Linked DNA regions of Oreochromis niloticus. The protein of the gene in region 1 purifies or fractionates together with the protein of each later gene. This does not show direct contact. Links are inferred from orthologs where the notes say so. Each region holds a gene or a part of one and is shown in the gene's direction. Other genes may lie near its edges.

Region 1 (7,632 bases):
CAGAGAGAAGATTTCACAAATATCTGCATACAATGTCTCCTTGAATATTAAGTAAAAATATATTTAATGGGTGAAAAAAATCGAGGACAGAAGAGAACAAGATCGGCAAGTGTCAAATCCAGAATAGAGGACTGTCATGAGACAAGACACCCTGAACCCACTTCCTCAATGTACCCTGTGAATCTCAGCACAGCACCATCCAGACATACGCCCTTGATGCTCATGCCCTTCACAGCCTAACTTCCCCGCTGATATGTGAGCATATCTCACTGTTGTCATAGGCAACTGTCTGCAGTGCTGACAGAGGGGTTTGTCTGACTGTGTGGATAGATGGATGCAGACAGACGGTAAAATGCAGGATGTACCAGGAGTGAAGAAATGCATGGAGGCAGCCCAAGAGGTGCACCGTGAAATCATTTCCACATGTGAATCACTCTGCAAACACTGTCACAGCAGGACAGTCGGTTCTGACAAGTTCTGACAAGGTCAACAAGTAGCTAACAGAGTAAAATGGCTGGTTGCATGGAGTACAACACTACACTGACTTCTTGTGATATGGTAATGTAAATAAAAGGTGGGAAAGTGCAAACTCTGTTACACAGAGTCCAGCTTTACATTCACACAGTGCAATATCGGGTGCTATCAATTGGTCTGGACCTGAGCCACGTATTTCATGAATCATGACCCACAATTCTGCGACGTACCACCACTCATCCAACAAACCACTAAAACTCAGGAATGCGCAAACAGCAATCAACAGATATTTCCCATTGATGAAATGAATTCTTTGTCTATGTTAAGTGCCGTAATAATTGAAATTTTACGGAAATACGGACCTTCCCGTCTTGCACAATCACAATGTTTACATTTTGAAACAAAGCCTGTCAGGCAGCTTGTAGGTCGGGCGATCGGGAGTAAAATCTAAAGCTCATTTATCAAATCTTTCTTTCGAAGAACACATGGGAATGTTTAACTCCACGAGTGTGTTTTAAACGGACAGTCTAAAAACCAACTTGCCCATGGGTCTTTAGGTCATTTATAACTGAAAGTTCACCAAGTGCAGACTTGCTAAATACGGACCCGAGCCAGCCAACTGTTGTGAACCTGGGACTCCCTTCCCCCCACTCTAAGCTAGCTGCTAGGCTAGCTATAACCTACAATGCTAGCTTAACTATCGCTTTCTCCCTTCATATGTGAGATAATAAGTAAGCTGACACTTCGAGGATAGCGACACATAGTAGTGCCAACAGCCTTGAGTCAAAATCCCAACTGTCTTTATTGGGAGGGCTAATTAATGGTGAAAACGGTGGAACAAGTCAGCCGGTCAAAATTGCCAAAAACAAAGGGAACTCAAGTTGAAGCTATAGCCAGTTCATAACGCTAGCTTGTAATCTGACAGCTGTACAATCCGTTCAGTGCGAAGGACACGCAAACGACTAGCCGCATTCATGTCTTGCACTGTGTATCTGCGTGACTGTGTTGGTGTCAGTGTCGATACTGCTCGTATTTTGCTGTGAATAATACATTATGTGGAGCACCTTGAGGCCAAGGCTAGCAGCCAGCTAGCCAAACTAGCCAGCCAGCTAGCTCGCCGGTAAAGAAAAGAAACCGGCTTACATGTTCCTCAGAGTTTCGCTCGTTTCTCGACGACGACCTAGTCCTTGACGAGATGAAGGGACCGCTCCTAGTCCGTGAGCTTTTCCTTGTGTTCACCATGTTTTTTTTTCTTTTGTCTGCCCCTTACTGAATCTCTCTGACCGGCTCTGAACACTGCCTCAGTGAGAGCAGGATCGAGTTCGAGGCGCCATCTCTCTCTCTCTCTCTCTCTGTCTACCTCTCTATCTCCCCGCCTCTCTCTCCCTCTCTCTCTGTGTGGTGGTTCTAAGTCTGTTTGGCAGGTGCATTCATTTCTGCTGACTGGATTACCACCAAAAGATCTTTGTTATTACATGGATACTTTATATTACAAAGGCAGTAATTCTTAATGCAGATATGTTACTATGGGTAAGTACTTGTATTGTACACTGGGGACAGTCAGTGAATCAGCTAAGTACTATTAAAGCACGATAAGTCACCAGATGAATAACAAAAGGTGGTACACTTGACGGCAGCAGGAAAACAGATGGAAGTGGGCAGCCTGCACTTTATCATACAAATTGTCTGCAGTTTTTTTCCCAGGTTGCCTAGTATGTGCAGCAATTCACTCTTTGTCTTCATCAAAAATATATATATATTAAAACATCAACTAATGTAAAAGGTCTGTGAATTATAAAAATATTTAGACTTGCCCTGTAAAACTGCAATCAGAATCTTTAAAACTCAAATAATCCCACAAGCTATTATTACTACAACCTAAAAAAGAAAAACTCTGTTTGTTTGCAAGACAGGACTGAACTGTATTCACTATCAAATTTTGAATTCTTTGTGACCTTCAAGTATGTAGTAGAAGAGGCTGAATTAATAATAATCTCTTCTCCTTTTGATGCTTTTAGCCTTCCTTCTTTCACTGCACTCCCTGTCATTTTATCCCCACAAGTAAAAATGACATTTTGTGTGTTTTCTGTTCTATTTCTGGCTCGAGTCAAGATACAACTGTGCTAGCCATCTGTTTTGCTTTTTTCTTCTTTTTTTCCTCTTTTTTTGGTTCAAGCAATGGTTTCTAAAAATCAACGTCAAAACATTGGGGGGGGTTCTTAAGAACCTTGTGCCATAAAATATTCACATTTGATATCTCAAATAAATATTTTTGATACAAATGTAAGAAAATCTAAACCTTTCACATGGAAACAAGAATCTGTTTTCATTTTTTTGTACCCTGTTCTGAGCATAAGTTGGCAATGCACTCCAGCCAGGCTGTCGATTTCAAATGAAGTGAACTAGACGATTCATTCACATGTCCAGTTCATTATCTCGCCATCAAAATATCGGTTAGATGATTGAAAAATGAAATTTCTTTACCTGTGCTTATATGTTCTCGTAGAGTTTAATAGAAGGCGTGGAAATGCAGAAAAGGTCGAGGGTCATCCCGCACACTGAAATCATTCTCTACTAATACTCTATCAAAGATCAGGCATGGATTTCATGTTAACCAAACATATTTGCTTATTTTCCTGGATATAATTTAAGTCAACTCCTAGACTAAATTCTGTTACCATTGAGAGGTTCCTTTCAATTTTAAACATTTTTTTAGTCTCTCACTAGGCATAATTTGAGAGATACAGCCTGTTCTTCACACCATACATCACTGTCTTCACTGTGTAGCTGCTTAGTAATTGATGCAACATATGTCAAGTTTAAATTACTACTTTTATTAGAAGTAGTAGTGAAAAAAAACTATAATAATACATTTGCTAGCAATGATAATTGATTCAAAGATAATGAAAATAAGTTTAAGGGTATGGTTTATACTGAACATGCCACCTTGGATGCTATATTGTATCTCAAGCACAGATGTTTCTATAATTATGTCAAAAAAGTATAAACGTATGCCAAAATCATAAATAACAGGCACATTTAATAAGTAAGCAAATGAATGGGGAAAAATAAAAAGATCTTTTGTAAAATTATATTTGATGTGTTGAATTGTATTTGACTATTAAATGACCATGCTGTAGTATTGTTTGGTCTACAATGTGCAACATAATGACATCATAATATATCATGCATTATTCAAGTTTTGCTTCACAATAACACATGGGCAACAATTTTAAGTGTTATGTAAATGTTGTGCAGTGAAAGTGGTGTCATGCATGTGAAAGGTAATTTAAGTGTATAACTGCTACAAATGGGTCATTATAACCTGTTGAGAGGTGGTTGTTAGGCAACATAATATGTGATATAGATGAGAACCTTCATGAGCCTAAAGCTGTACCCCTACAGGAAGCGATTCACAGCGATGTGGCAACTACAGACCACAGAAAGTGATTTACATACATTCAGGCACTGAAACAACTACGAGTAAAATAACCAGTGATGTTGCATAGAGGGCTGGATCCAACACAAACTTTTCTCAACTCAATGAGCGACTGAAACTACTGATGAGAGACGGGATGTCATTGAATAACATAGTAAATATATGGTAATAAATGTATTGGCGCATCAGTGAGGCAGTCAGAGCCTAGAATATCCATAACTGACCACCTGTCAGCTTCAAAGCAACGTGTGATGAGCAGATCACATTCAGTGTGGAAGATGTACCTGTGTGCCAGGTTTGGTTGCTCTGTTACTCAGTTAACACAACCAAAAAGAGATTTTGTGCGTTTCAGTAAGATAGTTTTTTTTGTTTTTTTTTAATTGTTATTTGTTTTTGTTTTTGACTGATTTATTTACCTGTTCATTTATAATTTTGTTAGTTTTGGTCCTCAGGGCGTATGAGAAGCTTCTACAAGAAAATGTACCGGAAAACCAAATTAAATGATTTTTGTCTGTTTGTTTGCCTGCGTGTTTGTTAGTTAGTCATTAATGATTTGTTTTGGATTTTGGCAGTTTAAGCCCTCCATAGGGTTGAGCCATATGAGACATCTTACCTCTAAATAGAAACAAACGCACACAAGTTTGGATCCAGTGGGCTTTCCATGCCATCTAATACTGTATCGTCAGTTTCAGCTGGGAGAGAAGATCTGCTGAGTTCAGCACAGAAAGCGTACAACCGCGACATCGGGAGTGGATTTACGGCACTGTTACGTCACATGTATTGCTCAGCAGAAGCACCGCTATCCTGAAACTTATGGCTACAGATGTGTAGCCCTGGATTAACCGATTAAAACACGGACTGGTAAATCACTATTCGACCTTACCCTTTATGCGCGCATGCTAATGGGCATCTGTTGTGTTTATGCTGACAAATAATCCTCGTTTTTACGAGCGGCTCCTGCGTGTGTGTTTTGCTCTTTGCGGGTCCATCGCTTTCTGCCGCCCACTTGCATAAATAACGATAAAGCTGCAGGCTGCTTGGCTGTCTGGCTATCTATCGATCACGTAATGTTTTAGAAAAATGATCAGTTTTTAGTTCCTTTTTGAGCGGTGTAGCACAGTTTTACTGCACACGTGTACATAATACGCCGCTAAGACAATAAAAGGTTACCCCCCAAAATATTGAACATCAACCACGCTTTTAAAACGGTGTGTGTGTGTGTGCTCGCTTGTTTCTTAGATGGGAAACATAGAAAGACATGAAAGAAACTGACACTGTGGAGAGTGAGAAAGATGAACAATGGTAAGTCATTATTTTTGTTAAATCCACTTCTAGGCAAATGAAGTCCTGTAACTGAATTGATCCCGTAGTTGTAAAATAATCTGAAAATAACTGGGTTGGACACAGAAATAATAACATATTTTGGGGTGTGTGTGTGTGAACTTGCTTTGCATGGTCTTGCACAATAACGCTTGTGACTGTAGACTGAATTCAGTAAGCATGATGAGTGAATACCTGCACTTTCTTCTCATAAAGGGTGGTCAGTGAGGACAATGAAGAGGAACCTCCAATGAGTCGTAGTTTTTCTGTAGAAGACCTCCTCGATGAGGTGGAGAAGATCTGTTACGATGCCTCAGGGACTTCAAAGGTCAGAGACAAATTCACCTTGAGAGCCAGATCTCTGCAAATGCCCCGCCTACATTTCTGAGCTTATAGACTAGTAATAACACAACATTTAAGTAAAGTATACACAGCACTATGCAAGAGTCTTAAGCCACACTTCATTTGTTTATATTTATGCTTCCAAGGAGCCAGACTTACTTGTCATTTTTTAAAATTGGTTTTCATCAGTAGTTCCCATTGGCTGCTTTTTCACTCATTTTCAGTCCGGTCCTTGTATCTGACTATTTTCACAGGATTGTTATTTTTGTTTGTTAAGCCACTTAATGCATTTAAGTAGAAAAAGGCATCAAACTTAAGGAGTGAAACTAGTGTTATGTCTATAAATAATTGACAGCTTAGCAAAGAATCAATTTTTGCATCATTAAGGCACTTTGTTATTGGCAGCCTGCCACAAAAACACTTAATTTGTTCACAATTCTTTAGTTGAAACTATGGAAATTGCCAAAGATAACACCACAAGAGAGGCATAAATAGTATTTTTGCACCAGCAAGGTAATTCCTCAAGGGCTATTAGCCAAAAACATTAAAGATTTGAGGAAACTGGATAAGTACAGAATTAAAAAAAAAAAATCTTAAAGTCATGTCCTTGAGAAAAACCCAGAAAAAGACCTGACACAGGACCAGAGAGATGTCTCTATCCTTCAGTTGACCAATGTACTGTTCATTGAAGCCTCATCAGAAATGGTCACAGTGTCTCAGGCTGTCAAGAAGCTGTTGTTAAGGAAGGGAAACGGGGGAGAGAAATGGAGGGGTCAGAAAAGAGGTAGAGTGTCTACAGCCATCTGTGAAACATAGTGAAGAGTCTGTCGTGGTTTAGGACTGCATTTCAACCAGTGGTGAACAAAGGAAATGCTAAGAAAGCTGCCTAAGAGAGTTCATGTCACACATATACTCAGTATACATCAATTCAATATAAAGCACTTAAATGACATTTTGATATAGCTAATGCTCCAATTTTATATTTTTAATGACATTGTTAGGCAGAATCATCTCTGTTGACAATCAAATGTGTGCTTATTAACCTCCTGTTGTTTACATTTCTTTTAATTGCAAGTTATTATGGGATACAGGTCCCAGTGGAGCATAAAAACAGTCTCATGTTTGCATCATAGCAATTTAAATAAAATGCACAATCTAGCTAAGTGCCAGATCAAAGTATTTAATAAGTAACTTTCTAAGCTTCAAAGCCAAGAGCACAAACCAAGAGGACGTAACAAGGAATCTCTGTTTGGATTAGGCGACGGTGCTGCCTGACCGGATCATGCAGGAGAAGGACGCACTTGCCTGCAGTGAAATCACTGAACTATTACCTGTAGTTTTTCTGGCATGTGCCCAGACGAACCTCACAAAGCCTTAGTAATAGGGACCCGGCAGGCTAAACATTTGTTTAATTGCGTTGAAAATTGCATGCTCACGTTCGCCTCCAATGGCCTGCGGTGCGTGAGTGAAAATGGCGTAAGACTCTCCAAATGAGGGCTCTCGCGGAGCTCTGTCAGCCAAATCTCAGTTGAAAGCACAAGCACCAGGCTTCAGTGATCACAGGATATTTTGTTCACCCGTTCGTTGCCAGGATAAACAGTCCGCAGTAAAAGTCTGACCTTCCGAGGTTAACAGCTGTGTGGCGACTTTATCTCTGAATCCTGTCAGGCCTATTTGATTGGGTTTTTTTTGCTTTTGTTCCAGGTGGAGATGGTGGTGAGGCTGTGGAAGGACGGCTTCACTGTAAATGATGAGGACTTTCGCAGCTACTCCATTCCAGAGAATCAAGAGTTCCTGGATGCCATCAAAAGGGGGTGAGTCGACTGGCTGAAACAGGATATCTTTCCTGTTTTAAGGATGTCTTCAGTTAAATTTTTGCTGCCTTACCACAAAGGAGGGGCATCAAATCCCAGGCTTTAATCATGGTTTTTAATTATTCTTGGTGGCTTAATGACCTCAAATAGTGTTCTCGCACTGATGAGAAGGGAGTGTTCAGACTATAAACTAATAGTGCAATTCTTATTGTTCCTCAGGCAGTGAAAAGTTAATGGCAAGAT
Region 2 (7,268 bases), on another chromosome or scaffold:
AGTTAAAGGTGCTCATGTTTCCCCCATTCAGCACTACAGCCAATTGTACAGCTCAACTTCAGTGTTTCACTCTGCAATTCTAATGGCCACGGGATGGTGAGATTTCTCTGAATCATTTAGACGAGCCTGTGTGTGCGCCGTGGTGAGGAGGCAGAGATGGCTAAAAATAAATAAATCTGCCTTACTGGAAGCAGGGACGCTAGGAATGACTTATCATCTCTACCCATCGTGTATATGTGGTGTATGTGCTTACATCGCACTAGAGTTTCATATTCATCTCCCTTTGTACCGCTGCAGTTATTTGTACAGTTTCATAAATCAGCTCATTAGGATGGTTGAGATTATCTTCCTGGGATGGCTTCATATGTAAATCTCCATCAACACGTTGAATCGTAGAGTAAGGAACCAGAGCAGGAACATGTGTGACTCGAGTCTTACTGGGTCCATAGTGAAACAGGCTCTGCTCCAGTCCAGAGAAGCTCCAAGCTTCCTCAGCTGGTGGTAGATCTCGTCTCCTTTCCTGCAACAGAAGCTCAAAACTCAGCAAACACTGTGTAGGCCACACAGCAGATGTGCTCAGAAGTCCAGATGTGAGGACTCACTCATTCTTCCACTTCCACACCTCCTCCAGAAACTCGTCCCTCTTAAAGTCTCGTCTGTGCCTCCCTGTTTGCCTCAGCAGTCTCCTCTCCACCACCGTCTAAAACACGAGCACATCGACACTCTACAGCACTGAGCATGTGCCACAAGCGTTGCAACGACAATCTTCAGCCTTAAAAATGGAATTTGATATAAATGTGTGATTTTTAGCAGTTTCCATACTTTGATGTTACTCTGAGAGACACCTGAGAACATGTGAGCCAAACCGTCATTACGCGTACCTGCGTTGCGATACCTGCATGGTCACATCCAGGCACCCACAGCACTCTGCAGCCCTGCATCCTTCTCCTGGTGGATACAAACCATCAACAGATGAGCTTAGAGAACAAAGAAAACATGCTGCTCTGCTGTTGATAGTTACCATCGAACCAGTGCATCCTCTACAGCTACTGTCAGAGCGTGGCCCAGGTGCAGAGTCCCAGTCACGTTTGGTGGAGGAATACACAGAGAGAAGGTCTGATCCACAGCGTGGGGCAGCCGTTCCTGAGAGCAGGAAGGGAAACACATGACTTGTGTGTGTGCACACTCGCTCTGAAGAGCAACTTTTTCCTTTGCTGTAATCAAATATATCGTAATATATCGTAGTACTGTTGCTCGTGCTTTAGTAACGTATATTTTCTAATAATTGAAAATATTAACTTGACTTCTAAACCCAAATAAAATGAAATGATTTAAAAAAAAAAAAAAAAAAAAAAAAAAAAAACACACGTTCAGATTCAAATGAAATGGAACATTAAGGTGGACTTTTGAGACTGAGTGAAGACTTTTTTGCTCCTTGTCGTGCCACCTTTACCTGGATAACTTGAATACATTAAAAATGAAATACAATCAGATTGCTCTGACCAACTCTGAGGTGGTCAGGCTTGCAGCGTGATCACATCTGAGGAAGATGCACTTTTCTGTTCTTACAATCACAATGATTGTCTGAAGGCCCAGAAAAATAGGCCTTCCCAAATAGATCATTATGGCTTTTTGCCATACCGGTCCACGTGATTGTCATATTTTATTCAACCTTTATTATTATTATTTATTTATTTTTATTTATTTTGAATTATTACAATCAGAATGGACAGGACCAGGGGACAGGAAAGACGAGGGACAGAGAAGTTGGGGAGAAGAGGAGGAAAAACTCGAGATGAAGAGGGAGGGAGAAAAAAAAACAAACACTGAAAATCTGCTTCATCACCTGGTGAGAGAAAAAGAAAAAGCAAAGCAAAAACAACACAGGAGGAAACCACAGAAACCTGCCTTCTCCTGTCAAATGAACAGGAGAAGCAAAGCAATATTTTTTCTACAATAAAAATAATTATTGTAGAAAAAACAAACTGCTGTACAGCAAATAAAGAGAGCACTGCTGGCAGGACAATGGTCAGAAAGTACATAAAGTTCACTTTTGATGCCTGAAAATATGACCAAAGTAGAAGTAATTGTATGTATTGAAAACTGTCTGTGACAAATACAGATGTATGTTTTCTGATCAGTGCTCTAAAACTGTTCATCCATTTTCTGCATCACTTAATAAAAAGCGTGCACGTTGCAGGGAAATCACATATGAAAGCTTAGCTGATTAATCACTTAGTTTGTTTCATAGAAACTGCAAAAAACTGCATTAAAGTGAATTCATTTCTAACTGCAATGGTAATAATTTGATTTAACAAGATCACATGTTTACGTGTTGCTCAGGACTGAAGAATCCCTCTTTCTCCCACCACTGATACCAGCTGGACTCCACATACTCTGGACTGTAACAAGACGGGAACGGTAAGCTAGTGTCTGTAGGGAAAAAGAAAAAGGACTTTCAGAGCCTGCAAGGAGAAGAGAGAGCCAAGCCAACGGGGGTTACAGGAGAGTCACCTTTCTTTGCCCCAGGAGGTGTAGGACCGGTATAAGCAATCTTCTGCTTCTCACTCCACTTTACTGCTTTACCTTCAGCACTCTGCAAACAGAAACATCAGAGCTGGTCTAACTGGCAGCTTCAGCTATGTATTTATTCTCTCATAACTGTATTTATGACACCATAATGGACAGAGTCCATTAAAACAGCACTGAACAAGTCACAAGTCAACACGGTTCAAACACAAAAGTGTGTAAAGTAATTGTCCCCTAAACCCAATAACTGGTAGTGCTACCCTCAAGACGTCCAATCAAGTGTTTGAGTTAACAACCAATGACTCTTTCACATCACTGTGGAGGAATTTTAGCCCACTCTGCTTTGCACGATTGTTTCCAGTTAGACACATTGGACAGATTTTCCAGCACGAACAGCAACTGATTTTCACAGATGGCTGTGTAGGTTTGAATAATTTTATTAAATGAAAGCATCAATTAAAGACACAAAGACCTGGATGGCCGCTAACTTTCTGCTTCTTAATTCAGATCAAACTGAGGTTATTGTACTCGGCCCTGAAAATCTTAGAAATATGGTATCTAACCAGATTCTTACTCTGGATGGCATTACCTTGGCCTCCAGTAACACTGTGAGGAACCTTGGAGTCATTTTTGACCAGGACATGTCCTTCAATGCACATATTAAACAAATATGTAAGACTGCTTTCTTCCATTTGTGCAACATCTCTAAAATTAGAAATATCCTGTCTCAGAGTGACGCTGAAAAACTAGTTCATGCATTCATTACTTCCAGGCTGGACTACTGTAATTCTTTATTATCAGGATGTCCTAAAAACTCCCTGAAAAGCCTTCAGTTAATCCAAAATGCTGCAGCAAGAGTCCTGACAGGGACTAGAAAGAGAGAGCAGATTTCTCCTGTTTTGGCTTCCCTTCATTGGCTTCCTGTTAAATCCAGAATTCAAAATCCTGCTCCTCACATACAAGGTCTTAAATAATCAGGCCCCATCTTATCTTAATGACCTTGTAGTACCATATCACCCTATTAGAGCACTTCGCTCTCACACTGCAGGCCTACTTGTTGTTCCTAGAGTATTTAAAAGTAGAATGGGAGGCAGAGGTAACTAATGAGTGCAGCATTAAACTATTACATTATTATTGCTATTATTAATACAACGATGCCAGTATATCCGTAAAAATACACACAAACGCACTAGTACTCTTTCCTTGGAGGATTTGACAGAGAGCTTTAGCCTTCGTGCTTTGCCTCCCTCTAACTTACACCATGCTGACTCGATAGGATGCCCTCCTCCCGCACTCGTCTGCGCCTCTGCTTCTCGGCGTGGGGCCGTGCAGTGAAGTTTGTGTGAGAAGCTTTTGGTGGGGTGCTGGAACAGAGTCTGGCTGCCCTCCCCAGACTCGGACCAGTACCTGTCCTCCACATCCTCGGTAACTTTACACGCTAGAATGCCCACACATGCCAGCCACAGCCGTGTAACTTAACTACTTTGTCCCTGCCAACCTGAGGACAGACGTTTGTATGGAAGCTTTACACAAAATTAAACCCGTGACGAAACGATGTTCCAGTATGATTTTGTGCTGTTTGTTGACGGGCTATTAAATCTTCACGGACAACAGGAAACACACTTGGTCCGTCTGGAAATATCTTCCCCACACAGCGTTTCTAGCAATGACTGTAGTGTTTTCTACAGTCACTGGTTTCAAGTTAAAGCTAAGAGGAACCGGAACATCCTTCCTGAGTTTAAAAATAAAATAAATTGTGGAAACAGAGTTTTCTATCCAATTAACTATCTAAACCATTTAATTCCACACATTATATAATGATATAGCCCAGCGACTACTGTCATGTGATTATTTTTGTGTGTGGTGATGGTTCCCAGAGCTGATAGTTTTAACGAGGAGCCGTGCGTTTCCGTTCCGACCCTGGCTAACGCGTTTTGTGCTTTGACTGTAGCCACCGCTGCCCCACACCTAGTAACTGTGGGTTGACATTTTTTCCATTCAGTGCGATTTTTGGAGTTAAAGAGCGGAAGGTTAGTCGGTTAGCTGTCGACTAACGCGGTGTCGCTCATTGTTGACGCTCTGCTTCGTTTCTTTTGCATCTTTAAGCTAGTTAACGGTAGCGTTAGCAAAGCAGCGGCAGGGATGGCGGAGGTTCCAGGAACATCCAGTGAGACCATAACTGAGACAGTTCAGACGAGCACACCGCCGCCGCCCCAGCAGGTAAACGATGGACAGCTGTTCGTGAGACAGTTGGACTGCTCTGGCAGCCAGTGACAGTGTACATTAAAGAGATCAGCGTTCATGTTATTACACGGGAAGCTTCGTGAGGCCTGATATGTTAGTTACGTTAGGCTTATTTAAATGACAGGGCTGCTAGTAGCGCGGTAGCATTATGGAAAGCCGATAGCGGGCTAAGTGCTGAATATCTCAGCGTTGCTGTGTGAAAGTTAAACAGCTTTCAATTAACAACCCGAATCTGTAGTATTGTTGCATAATGTCTAAAGCAGCAGGAGCATCCGGTTTACATGTTAAATACACTCTGTTCAAATCGTATTTCAAGTTGTACTGCTCAGATAAACACAGTCAGACCTCCATTACCTGAAATTCCCATAGTCAGTTAGAGTGGGAAAAAGATGTAGCGCAGACAGGCCCATCTGTTGGCACCATGGGGCAAAGGGATTGGTCTCTGCTAGCATACATACCCGGTAACCCCAGCTTTGTGTCATTTCTGAGGCAGGTGCTCTTTAATAGTTTGTACCTTAAACCCCCTCACCCCTCCCAACCCTCACGGCTTGACTTTTTTTTTTTTTTAAAATTGTTGCACATTTTTTTCTTTTTAAATATGTGCATAGTCCTGTTTGACTTTTAAATAAGAAGAAGTCTTAAAGGATATTAAGAGGCATACTCGTGTTTGGCTACAACATACTTTGTGTATCATTTTACACAAATCTTCGTAGTCCTACTGATACAGACTGTTTACTGCAGATGTTGTCATAATTAGAAGTATTTCAATACTTATAGGGGAAATAATTTCGCCTAGGGATCAATAAAGTATTCTGATTCTGATTTCAGTGTTTGCAATTTATTTTAAGTTAGGCCTTTAAAATATTGTCAGACTGATGGTCATGGTATGTAAACTGGTTCTTATATAGCACGTTTCTGCTCTGAGCATTCAAAGCACTTTCCACAACTTAACCCATTAGCGCTTGTATCTGTCTAACATTCATACACATTTAGAGTCTGATACATCAGAGGAATAAGTCCTTGGGGTTAGTATCTGGAGCAAACAGGGATCAAACCACCAACCTTCTGATTAGTAGGTGACCTGCTCTATCACCTGAGTGAGGACATGTTTTAGAGAGCAAGAAACAATAGCATGCCCATGACGCCATAGAGAGAACAAGAAGGTCCTACAAATGATAGATGTCATGGAGTGTGAGTGCAGGATTCACAGTTCATACTGTGGTTTGTTTGTGATGTCTCACAGTAGACCTCTTACATGTTACAGGAGGGACGAAGCTTGACAATCAAGTTGAGGAAGAGGAAGACTGAGAAGAAGGTGGAGTGGTCCAGTGACACTGTTGACAACGAGCATTTGGGAAGAAGGTCTTCAAAGTGTGAGTTTATCTTTCTTCCAGCACACAGGCTGAGAAACATAATTAAGCAAATATGGCCACCACCAGTTTTCAGTGTTTTTAGATGGCCTGTTGACTTTTACTTTTTCTTTTACTGTTTAGGTTCAGTGCCAAAACTTACAATTCAATTCAATTTTATTTATATAGCGCCAAATCACAACAAAAGTCGCCTCAAGGCGCTTTATATTGTACAGTAGATCGCACAATAATAAATACAGAGAAAAACCCAACAATCATATGACCCCCTATGAGCAAGCACTTTGGCCACAGTGGGAAGGAAAAACTCCCTTTTAACAGGAAGAAACCTCCGGCAGAACCAGGCTCAGGGAGGGGCGGGGCCATCTGCTGTGATTGGTTGGGGTGAAAGAAGGAAGACAGGATAAAGACATGCTGTGGAAGAGAGACAGAGATTAATAACAGATATGATTCGATGCAGAGAGGTCTATTAACACATAGTGAGTGAGAAAGGTGACTGGAAGGGAAAAACTCAATGCATCATGGGAATCCCCGGCAGCCTACGTCTATTGCAGCATAACTAAGGGAGGATTCAGGGTCACCTGGTCCAGCCCTAACTATATGCTTTAGCAAAAAGGAAAGGTTGAAGCCTAATCTTGAAAGTAGAGATAGTGTCTGTCTCCTGAATCCAAACTGGAAGCTGGTTCCACAGAAGAGGGGCCTGAAAACTGAAGGCTCTGCCTCCCATTCTACTTTTAAATACTCTAGGAACAACAAGTAGGCCTGCAGAGCAGGCAAGCACTGTGGTATGTTTTAAGATGCTGGTGGTTTCGCAGTGGGGTTGTTGTTATCAGTGGGATTTTCTGTGGGCGTCCAGTGGCTCGTCTGTTGGGATTCTGCAGATTATGAAATAATTGAAAGTCATCATAAAAAAATGAAAACTAAATCACAAAAACAAAACAACTGATATTCTGCTCTTATGCTGAGTTTGGAACAATGGAATATTTGGCACAGGGCTGTAGAGTCAGTCCTGAAAAAGCTGCTTGTTCTGATGTTTCATGAAGTTTGTCCTTGAAAGAAACTCTGTGATTTTATTATCAGGAAAAAAAAACAAGAAAAACAAAAACTAGTTTGAAATGACAATAAAGT
Region 3 (7,739 bases), on another chromosome or scaffold:
TAGGCTTTTACGTTTCGGTTCACCTGACTTCAGGCTTCCGCCTTGCTTTTTCTTTTGGCTGTCCGGTGAGGTGGAGTTGTTGTGAGTGTGTGTGGTGGTGGTGGTGGTGCGGGGGGCGTGGGGGGCAGTCAAAGGTCATTTAAGGTAGCTTTCAAAACAGCGAAGTTATGAAGTCAGAGCAAAGGACTCGACTGATAATTCAAAACAGAGCTGGGTAACCATGGAAACCGTAAATAATTAAAATGAGAGCCATCGCGTCATCTTTTTTCATTTGTTCCATTTGTATGTAAATATTGTAACTCAACGCATTTATAGATTCATAATTGTCAAAAGTTGCCGGACTGTCTCCTAATTTAAATCCACCGATAAGCACCGTCACCGCCTATCACGTGACGAATTCTGAACCCTGACACGACTCTGACTTATTCAAGGACTCTAGTTCGACTGCCACCTGTATGTTTCTATTACTTTATTCTACCCTGCTTGTGTTTCTACGGCAGGTATGCACTGACTTGCAGGTTCATTAGGTACACTCATCCAATCAGCCAATCGGACTGCAGTAACTCCGTGCATGTAGAGCTGATCAAGAAGACCTGCTTAAATTCAAACTTAACATCAGAATGATGAAGAAATATGATTTAAGTGACTTTGAGCATGGTTGTTGGTGCCAGACATGCTCTGGCCAGCAGTTATCTATGGGAAAATGTCTTGTTAACGTTGTAAGACCGCTTCGAACTGGTAGGAAGGCAACAGTAACTGAAAAACTACTCATGACCAAGGTATGCAGAAGAGCATCTCTGAGCGCACAGCATGAACCTAGAAGCAGATGGACTAGAACGGCAGAAGACTGCAGCAGGTGCCACTCCTGTCAGCTAAGAACAGGAAAAGGAAAATGTTTCCAGCACTTTGCTGAATCTATGCCAGGAAGAATCAATGTAGTTCTGAAGGGGAAAGGGGCTCCAACACTGCACTAGATATGTGTACCTAATACAGTGGCCAGTGAGTGTGGTTTTGGGGGAGACGCACTAAATTTAAGGTGTTTATAGAGGGATAACCCTGAGCCTGTTATCCCTGAGAGCAGAATCTGATCAAATCCTGCAGTCAGTCCAGTTTAAGATAAGATAAGAAGAACTTTATTTATCCCGAGGGAAATTCTTTTGTCATACACATGCTCAATGCAGCAAGAGAGACAGAGGAACAGAGTAATAAGATATACAATATGTACAATAGAATACAAGTATACAGTAATATACAGTAGGATAGTGCAAAATATGATATCGAATAAAAGTGACATAGTATTGTGCAAATGGATAAAGAGTAGCAGCATATGATGGGGAGATGAAACAAACATTCAATGAAAAACTGTTGGGTGATATTACACAGTCTGAATGTTTAACACAGCTGCTGGCTGCTGTCAGAGATGTGTTGAAAGTGTAAACAATGAAACTCATTTTATATGCTTAAATTGACTTTACGTATAGCACTTTTCTACTCTGTGTGAGCACTTAGAGCATCTTCTTACTACGAGTGTTATTCAGCCATACACACAAACATTTGTACGTGTGCTTCTTTCTATGTCAATAAGCACTTTGCCTAACATTTGCACACACATACTTCAATGGATGCATCTGGGGCAACTTGGGTTTTAATATCTTGCCCAAGGATACTTTGACATACATGCTGGAGGAGCCTGACCTTCCAATTAGCAATGTGATCAAAATAAAACGCATTGGAATGCATGTATGAATTGGTGCAAATGTTAAGAATAAATACATTTGTGGATTATGGAGTCAGTGCGCTTAACTTCAGGCTGGGTTGTGATGTCTCTGAGTTATCGAGTTATACACTCAAAAGAGGAAATTCAATACAAAGGCAAAACAAATCAGCAGACTGAAGCCACCACAGGAGGAAAAAAAGATGTCTGCGCTTACTACTAAAATACATTTACTCCTCTTTGTATCATGGAATAACGAGGGACCAGACAGATCCTCATGGGGCCATTACATTGTTCTCTGCCAATTTAGCCTCTGGGGGAGAGTGCATAAGAATTGCTGTAGTACAAACAGTTAACACAATACTTTAGCAGATTACAGTATGTATAGTCTTTAATCTTAAATATCTTTTTCTTTTTTTTAAAATCCTTTGTGCTGGTGTACCGAGGAAAAAAATGACTTATGGACCCACCTGTATATGGTACATTCTGCGGTTTATATGTTTGCTGTGCCTTCAACTTTCAAACAAATGTTCTAATTTTGTCATTACTCTTCTGAAGAGTTAATATTTACATTTGTGTCTTGAAATGACTGGTCAATGATTCTGGGAGGTGCAGCTTAGAAACATATTTAGCTGCTAGTTAAGCATGAAAACAACCTTTATTCTCCTATCCCGGCTGACACACCTCTGCTTACCCCCGATAACATGTCAAGTAAGAATTGTATGTTCCTTTTTAAAAAAATCATATCTAACACGTTACACAATCACACTCATGTCATCATAACAGAAACACATTGATTAGACACCATGGGCTCAAATCGGCAGTGTCTGTTTGTTATGTTTTTAGAAATGTTAACTATCTGGATGCTGATGTTGTAATCAGGTCTCTTGTGGATGACAGCAGTGCCTCAGTCTTATGCAAGGGAATTCTTAAGATGGGCGGTACGCAGCACGCATGGGAAGTGGTCGTATAAACAACCTGTTGTGGTAGTGCAGGAAATGTAACAGAGACAGGGCTGTTTTATGTTACATCAGACAGAATTACTTCAAGCACCCTTTTTCACCTTGTATAAGTGGTTATGCTGCTCACTTTAAATTGTCATCTCTCCTGCTTTTGAGTCATTAATGTGCTACATAAACATCGACATTTTTACAGTCCGAGCCAAATAATCACTTAAAACACAAATAAAATAACAGACCTTCCAATCACAAGATACAAGAAATTCAATTCAGTTCAATTCAGTTTTATTTATATAGCACCAAATCACAACAACAGTCGCCTCAACGTGCCTTATATTGTCAGGTAAAGATCCTACAATAACACAGCAAAAACCCCAACAATTAAATCTGATGATGATCAATCAGATGACCCCCTATGAGCTAACAGCTGGTGATACTGGGTAGGAAACATTCCTTTTCAACAGGAAGAAACCACCAGCTGAACCAGGGGGGCAGCCATTCGCTGTGACTGGTTGGGGGTACACAGGGTAGACAGATAAAAGAGGTGAGTAAAGCAGAAATGCTCAATGCATCATGGGATATGCATTTGGACTTATTTTGCAGTATGCAACCTTGCAGTGGAGGGGATTCTGATAGTCATACACTTTGACCTCACTGGCGCACATGATGGCAAGGTGGGGTAATATCTCACCAAGGAGTCTTGGCACTTTAATGACCCTTGCCGTGATTCACACTCGTGGCTCATATGACTTTTAACTAATTACATGATGACAGGGTGTGTGAGTGACTCAGAACCACCTCCAACAGGACAATCCTATCTGGGACTCTCCTACTAGAAATGAACCATCTTCATAAATCAAAAAGAAATCCAGGTGCCTTCATTTCAAGCACTTAAGCCTACCATGAGCTGGATGACTAAGAACCTACAAAGACATACAGTGCCCTAAAAAAGTATGTTTCTTTACATTCTTTCTTTCTTTTTTTTCTTTTTTTTTTTTTGCATATTTGTCACACTTAAAAAGTTAAGATCGTAAAACAAATTTTAATATTAGATATAACCAGAGTAAATACAAAATAAAGTTTTTAAATGATCTCATTTATTAAGAGAAAATGCTATCCAAACCTACCCAGCCCTGTGTAAGAAACTAACTGCAACCTTATTAAATCATGAATTACCTGTAACTGAATTAACACATTTAAAAAAAAAAAAAAAAAAAAAAAAAATGAGCTCAATTTCACTACCCACACCCAGGCCTGATTAATGCAGACCTGCTGAATCAAGAATATACTTAGACCCTGTCTGACAAAGTGAAGTAGGATAAGATTTCAAAAAGAAACACACTGTATCACAATCAAGGAAAACAACTTTAATACAGTTACTGGTCGCAATCTAAAGAAACTGCAGACAAACAAAGCTATTAACATCTATCAGTCTGAAAGGGGTTACAATGCTAAAATTAACCAACATGTTAGGTGTCGGTGCTGCTGCAGAACAGTAGTAACAACTAGTAACCAGACCTCACAGTCACAGCTGTGCTCCTGCCGCAACCACCAGCTGTGGAGAAGCCAGGAAGCGACAGAGGAAGATGAAATTAACGTGGTAAGAAAATAGATGAAGGGACATAATTAGGAAGGTAGAGATTCAAGGATTCAGATGAAATTAATGGCTGATTTGATCATGAGTCATTGCTAATTGCTTTTAAATGTGTAGCTTTTAATTGTCCCATGCTGCAGGGCAACTAAGAACTAACCCTACAACAACTCTACCAACCTGATGCTAGGCCCGATTTTTTGTCCCAGTCCAGCTCTAACTGCATGTATAACATCTGCTGAACAGATCCTTCAAAAAAAAAAACTGCACTGTGCAGTCTAGCAGATTTATATTCAGGTGTACCGTGTGAAATCCAATAAGTTACAGAAAAAGAGAGGAAATAAAAGCAGCTTGCATTTGAAATTATATACTGAATAATGCAAGTTCAATAACGGTACTTTCTTGTCAACTAGTGTTACGTTTATGTCCTGAGTTATATAAACCTTACCGTATAATTTGTTGATGCTCGTTTCCAGCGGCCTTCAGCGCCCCCTTGTGTCTGATGTCAGCGTATGCTTCCACTGGATTGGCTGCGCGGTTGTCAGTAGTGTTTACAGGAAACATGGCTTCCCTGTCTGTTGGAGAGCTTCAAGAAATGGAAGGTGAGTAGCCAAATTTTCAAGGGTGCAGCCGCGTTGTGATCGTTATAGCTTGTTAGCCTGGCAGCCATTTGTTTAAAAGAGTCTTTTTTCATCTGAGCACGCTCCTTGATGTTTTTCTCTGGTGACTAACCAAACCTTCATCCTTGCTTTGCTAGCTTACAGGCTAATAACAAGACGCTAGCTGGCGATATTAATTTAACGTCAGTTCATGCTATCTTTATAAAGGCCATCTACAGCGGCGTTTCAGGGTGTGTTGGGTACCCCATGGTCATAGACGTTTATTTTTTCCTCGACCATGCAACATGTTTCAGATTCAGCTCGTAAAAGCTGCTAGCTGTGATACAGTCAGCTACCTAGCTGGCTAACGTGCTTAGCAATGTGTCGCCCGTGTGTTCAGTAGGTAACGCGCGTTCAAACTGATTTTAAAAAATGAAAATAAAGCTGGGACACATCCCGCAACATTTAATACGAATAGGTAAAATCTGTGGTAGTGCTATCCCATTTTTCCACACATTTTTCCACAATTTGAGCGCGTTACAGAGCACAGAAATGTGCACTATCACGATCTAGTGATAGTGGAGACAGAGGGTGGCTGCTCCAGATAAACCTGGGCTTGGCATCATCTAAGTGTGTGTGTGTGTGTGTGTGTGTGTGTAACCGGTCGGAAGCTGTGAATCTTTGTTGAGGTTTTGAGGCTCTCTTCTGTCTGCGTACTGTAGTGGACCGGAGGGGAGAGTCTGAGGAGTCTGGTGATGATGAAACCAGGAGGAAGAGCATCAATGGCGATGTGGACCCTAATCAGCCCACTGCTACGAGTAGGTCATCATCACCTCCTACCCAGCCACACAGAATGTGCTTTATTTTACAAATTAGGCGTGCTGCTTGTGTTATTTTCACATGGATACTTTCTTAGATAAAATCTTTATGTGGCAATATTTAATTTTTTTAATTTTTTGATAGCAGTGGATGCTTTAATTTTATTTCATTTATTCTTGCTCATATTAAAGGTAAAGAAGAGTCTCCTGTTGACATGGACACGATAACTTTGGACCCTGAGGAAGAGGTCAGTGGAAGTTTTGAAGAAAATGCCTTTCATCTCTGATGACTTTTGTTTGTAGTTTAAGAAAGTGAAGACGATAGTGTTAGAGCTCATAATAACAGTAGGTTTTTTGTTTTTTTTAAATTTGAACTTCTTTGTGTAAATCTGTATGTAGGTGCTGTGCCATAACGGCAATTAACCATAGACTGCCTGATCTCTTACGGTGTCTATATTTCTTTCTAGGATGTTGATCTTGTTCACTGTCGTATTGGAAAGATTGAAGGACTAGAGGTGCTACAGAAGGCTAAAGTAAGTATTATTTAGGTGATGCGTTTGGCGGCAGTGTCATTACCGCCTGAGTCTTATTGGCATTTTGGTTTCATCTGCATTTTTTTTTTTCATATCTAAAATAAGGACCTATCTAATGCGCCATAATTCTGCTCTTGATGGTATCCTCTTTTATTTTTGCCTCTCCTCTGCACGCAGACGCTCTCCTTACGGCAGAACCTCATTAAAAAGATAGAAAACCTCGACAGTTTGAGTGCCCTGCGGGAACTAGATTTCTATGACAATCAGATCCGCAAACTGGAGAATCTGCACAACCTCACGGAGCTGGAGTAAGTTTGACAAAACTGTGCTTCTTACGTAAGCCTGAACAAAGGTCTCACATATCAAGGTATATTTATTCTGAGAGGGACTGTTGTTTTGACAACCCACAGGCAGCTTGACGTGTCATTTAACGTTTTGAGGAAGGTGGAGGGTTTGGAGCAGTTGACTCGGCTGAAGAAACTTTTTCTGCTTCACAACAAAATTAGCAGCATTGGGAATCTGGAGCACCTCACAGGTCTGGAGATGCTGGAGCTCGGCTCCAATCGCATTAGGGTGAGATACAAAGGGACTGTGCTGCACTGAGAAGTTGTTTTGAACTCCTTATGTAAATAATGGGTTTTGTTTGCAAAATATAAATGACGATTTGTTGGAAAATGTAAGTTGTCATGTAATTTTGAAGTGTTGCCTTCATGTTGTTGTGTTCACAGGTCATTGAAAACCTGGATTCACTTACATCTTTGCAAAGTTTGTTTCTTGGCACTAATAAAATAACAAGGCTTCAAAATCTGGACGCTTTACACAACCTGACTGTTTTAAGCATCCAGGTATCCTCACATACATTCATCACTTGATTACAGTTGCACACGATCCAGACAACAGATAATCATTGGGTTTGCATTTACTTGCAGAGCAACCGGATTACGAAAATTGAGGGGCTTCAGAACCTTGTCAACCTGAAGGAGCTCTATCTGAGCCACAATGGCGTTGAGGTCATTGAGGGGTTGGAAAACAATGTAAGTTATAAACTTTCAGTCCCACATTTCCAAAACACATAAAAAAAATAGGGTTCCATACTGTTGAATTGTGCAAACATGTAACAGCAATGTTTGTTTTTCCGAACAGAAAAAACTCACCACCCTCGACATCGCAGCCAATCGAGTAAAGAAAATAGAAAACATCAGCCACCTGACGGAGCTGCAGGAGTTCTGGGTACAGATAGTTTGTTTGACATGTTGTTTAATGTACAGCCTCAGTACAGACAGCCCATCTTCACTGCTGACAGTTTGACAGAAGAAGAAAAGTTTCTTAGAACATAGAAAATTTAACGTCGGCATGCATTAAAAGGCAACCATCATCAAATAATTAACTACACCTTTGCTTGTTAATAAAAATTATGACATTGTGGGTAGGGAACAGATCCTGCTGAGGTGGAGGTATGCACTGGAGAAAAGAGGAATGAGATGGGTAGAAAAGTGAAGATGCAAGGAGTAGAGGCAGTGAAGGT

The links. Proteins that work in one complex are often made in the same cells at the same time.
Region 2: the proteins of ubxn2a (region 1) and ppp1r11 purify together in Homo sapiens (affinity purification with mass spectrometry; 3 studies listed by BioGRID and IntAct, counting the BioPlex papers as one, with this or other methods). This does not show direct contact. The link is inferred for Oreochromis niloticus from reciprocal best matches to the Homo sapiens genes UBXN2A and PPP1R11.
Region 3: the proteins of ubxn2a (region 1) and ppp1r7 purify together in Homo sapiens (affinity purification with mass spectrometry; 3 studies listed by BioGRID and IntAct, counting the BioPlex papers as one, with this or other methods). This does not show direct contact. The link is inferred for Oreochromis niloticus from reciprocal best matches to the Homo sapiens genes UBXN2A and PPP1R7.

Annotation. Positions count from the first base shown.
Region 1 is NC_031980.2:3,667,516-3,675,147, reverse strand, and holds the start of ubxn2a (UBX domain-containing protein 2A), read left to right. Parts: upstream 1-4,621; 5' UTR 4,622-4,774; intron 4,775-5,152; 5' UTR 5,153-5,171; coding exon 5,172-5,215; intron 5,216-5,449; coding exon 5,450-5,561; intron 5,562-7,279; coding exon 7,280-7,389; intron 7,390-7,632. Other genes in the region: atad2b (ATPase family AAA domain-containing protein 2B), read right to left, coding at 1,618-1,716. UniProt on the Homo sapiens protein: Acts to repress the ubiquitination and subsequent endoplasmic reticulum-associated degradation of CHRNA3 by the STUB1-VCP-UBXN2A complex in cortical neurons.
Region 2 is NC_031985.2:37,932,336-37,939,603, forward strand, and holds the start of ppp1r11 (E3 ubiquitin-protein ligase PPP1R11), read left to right. Parts: upstream 1-4,251; 5' UTR 4,252-4,395; coding exon 4,396-4,506; intron 4,507-4,635; coding exon 4,636-4,749; intron 4,750-6,037; coding exon 6,038-6,146; intron 6,147-7,268. Other genes in the region: vars2 (valine--tRNA ligase, mitochondrial), read right to left, coding at 439-520, 603-700, 882-948, 1,022-1,143, 2,333-2,433, 2,515-2,596, 3,788-3,949. UniProt on the Homo sapiens protein: Atypical E3 ubiquitin-protein ligase which ubiquitinates TLR2 at 'Lys-754' leading to its degradation by the proteasome.
Region 3 is NC_031982.2:16,066,417-16,074,155, forward strand, and holds the start of ppp1r7 (protein phosphatase 1 regulatory subunit 7), read left to right. Parts: upstream 1-4,722; 5' UTR 4,723-4,766; coding exon 4,767-4,866; intron 4,867-4,902; exon of another isoform or gene 4,903-4,974; coding exon of another isoform or gene 4,975-4,987; intron 4,988-5,585; coding exon 5,586-5,681; intron 5,682-5,873; coding exon 5,874-5,929; intron 5,930-6,148; coding exon 6,149-6,214; intron 6,215-6,391; coding exon 6,392-6,522; intron 6,523-6,624; coding exon 6,625-6,787; intron 6,788-6,942; coding exon 6,943-7,059; intron 7,060-7,143; coding exon 7,144-7,248; intron 7,249-7,357; coding exon 7,358-7,444; intron 7,445-7,739. UniProt on the Homo sapiens protein: Regulatory subunit of protein phosphatase 1.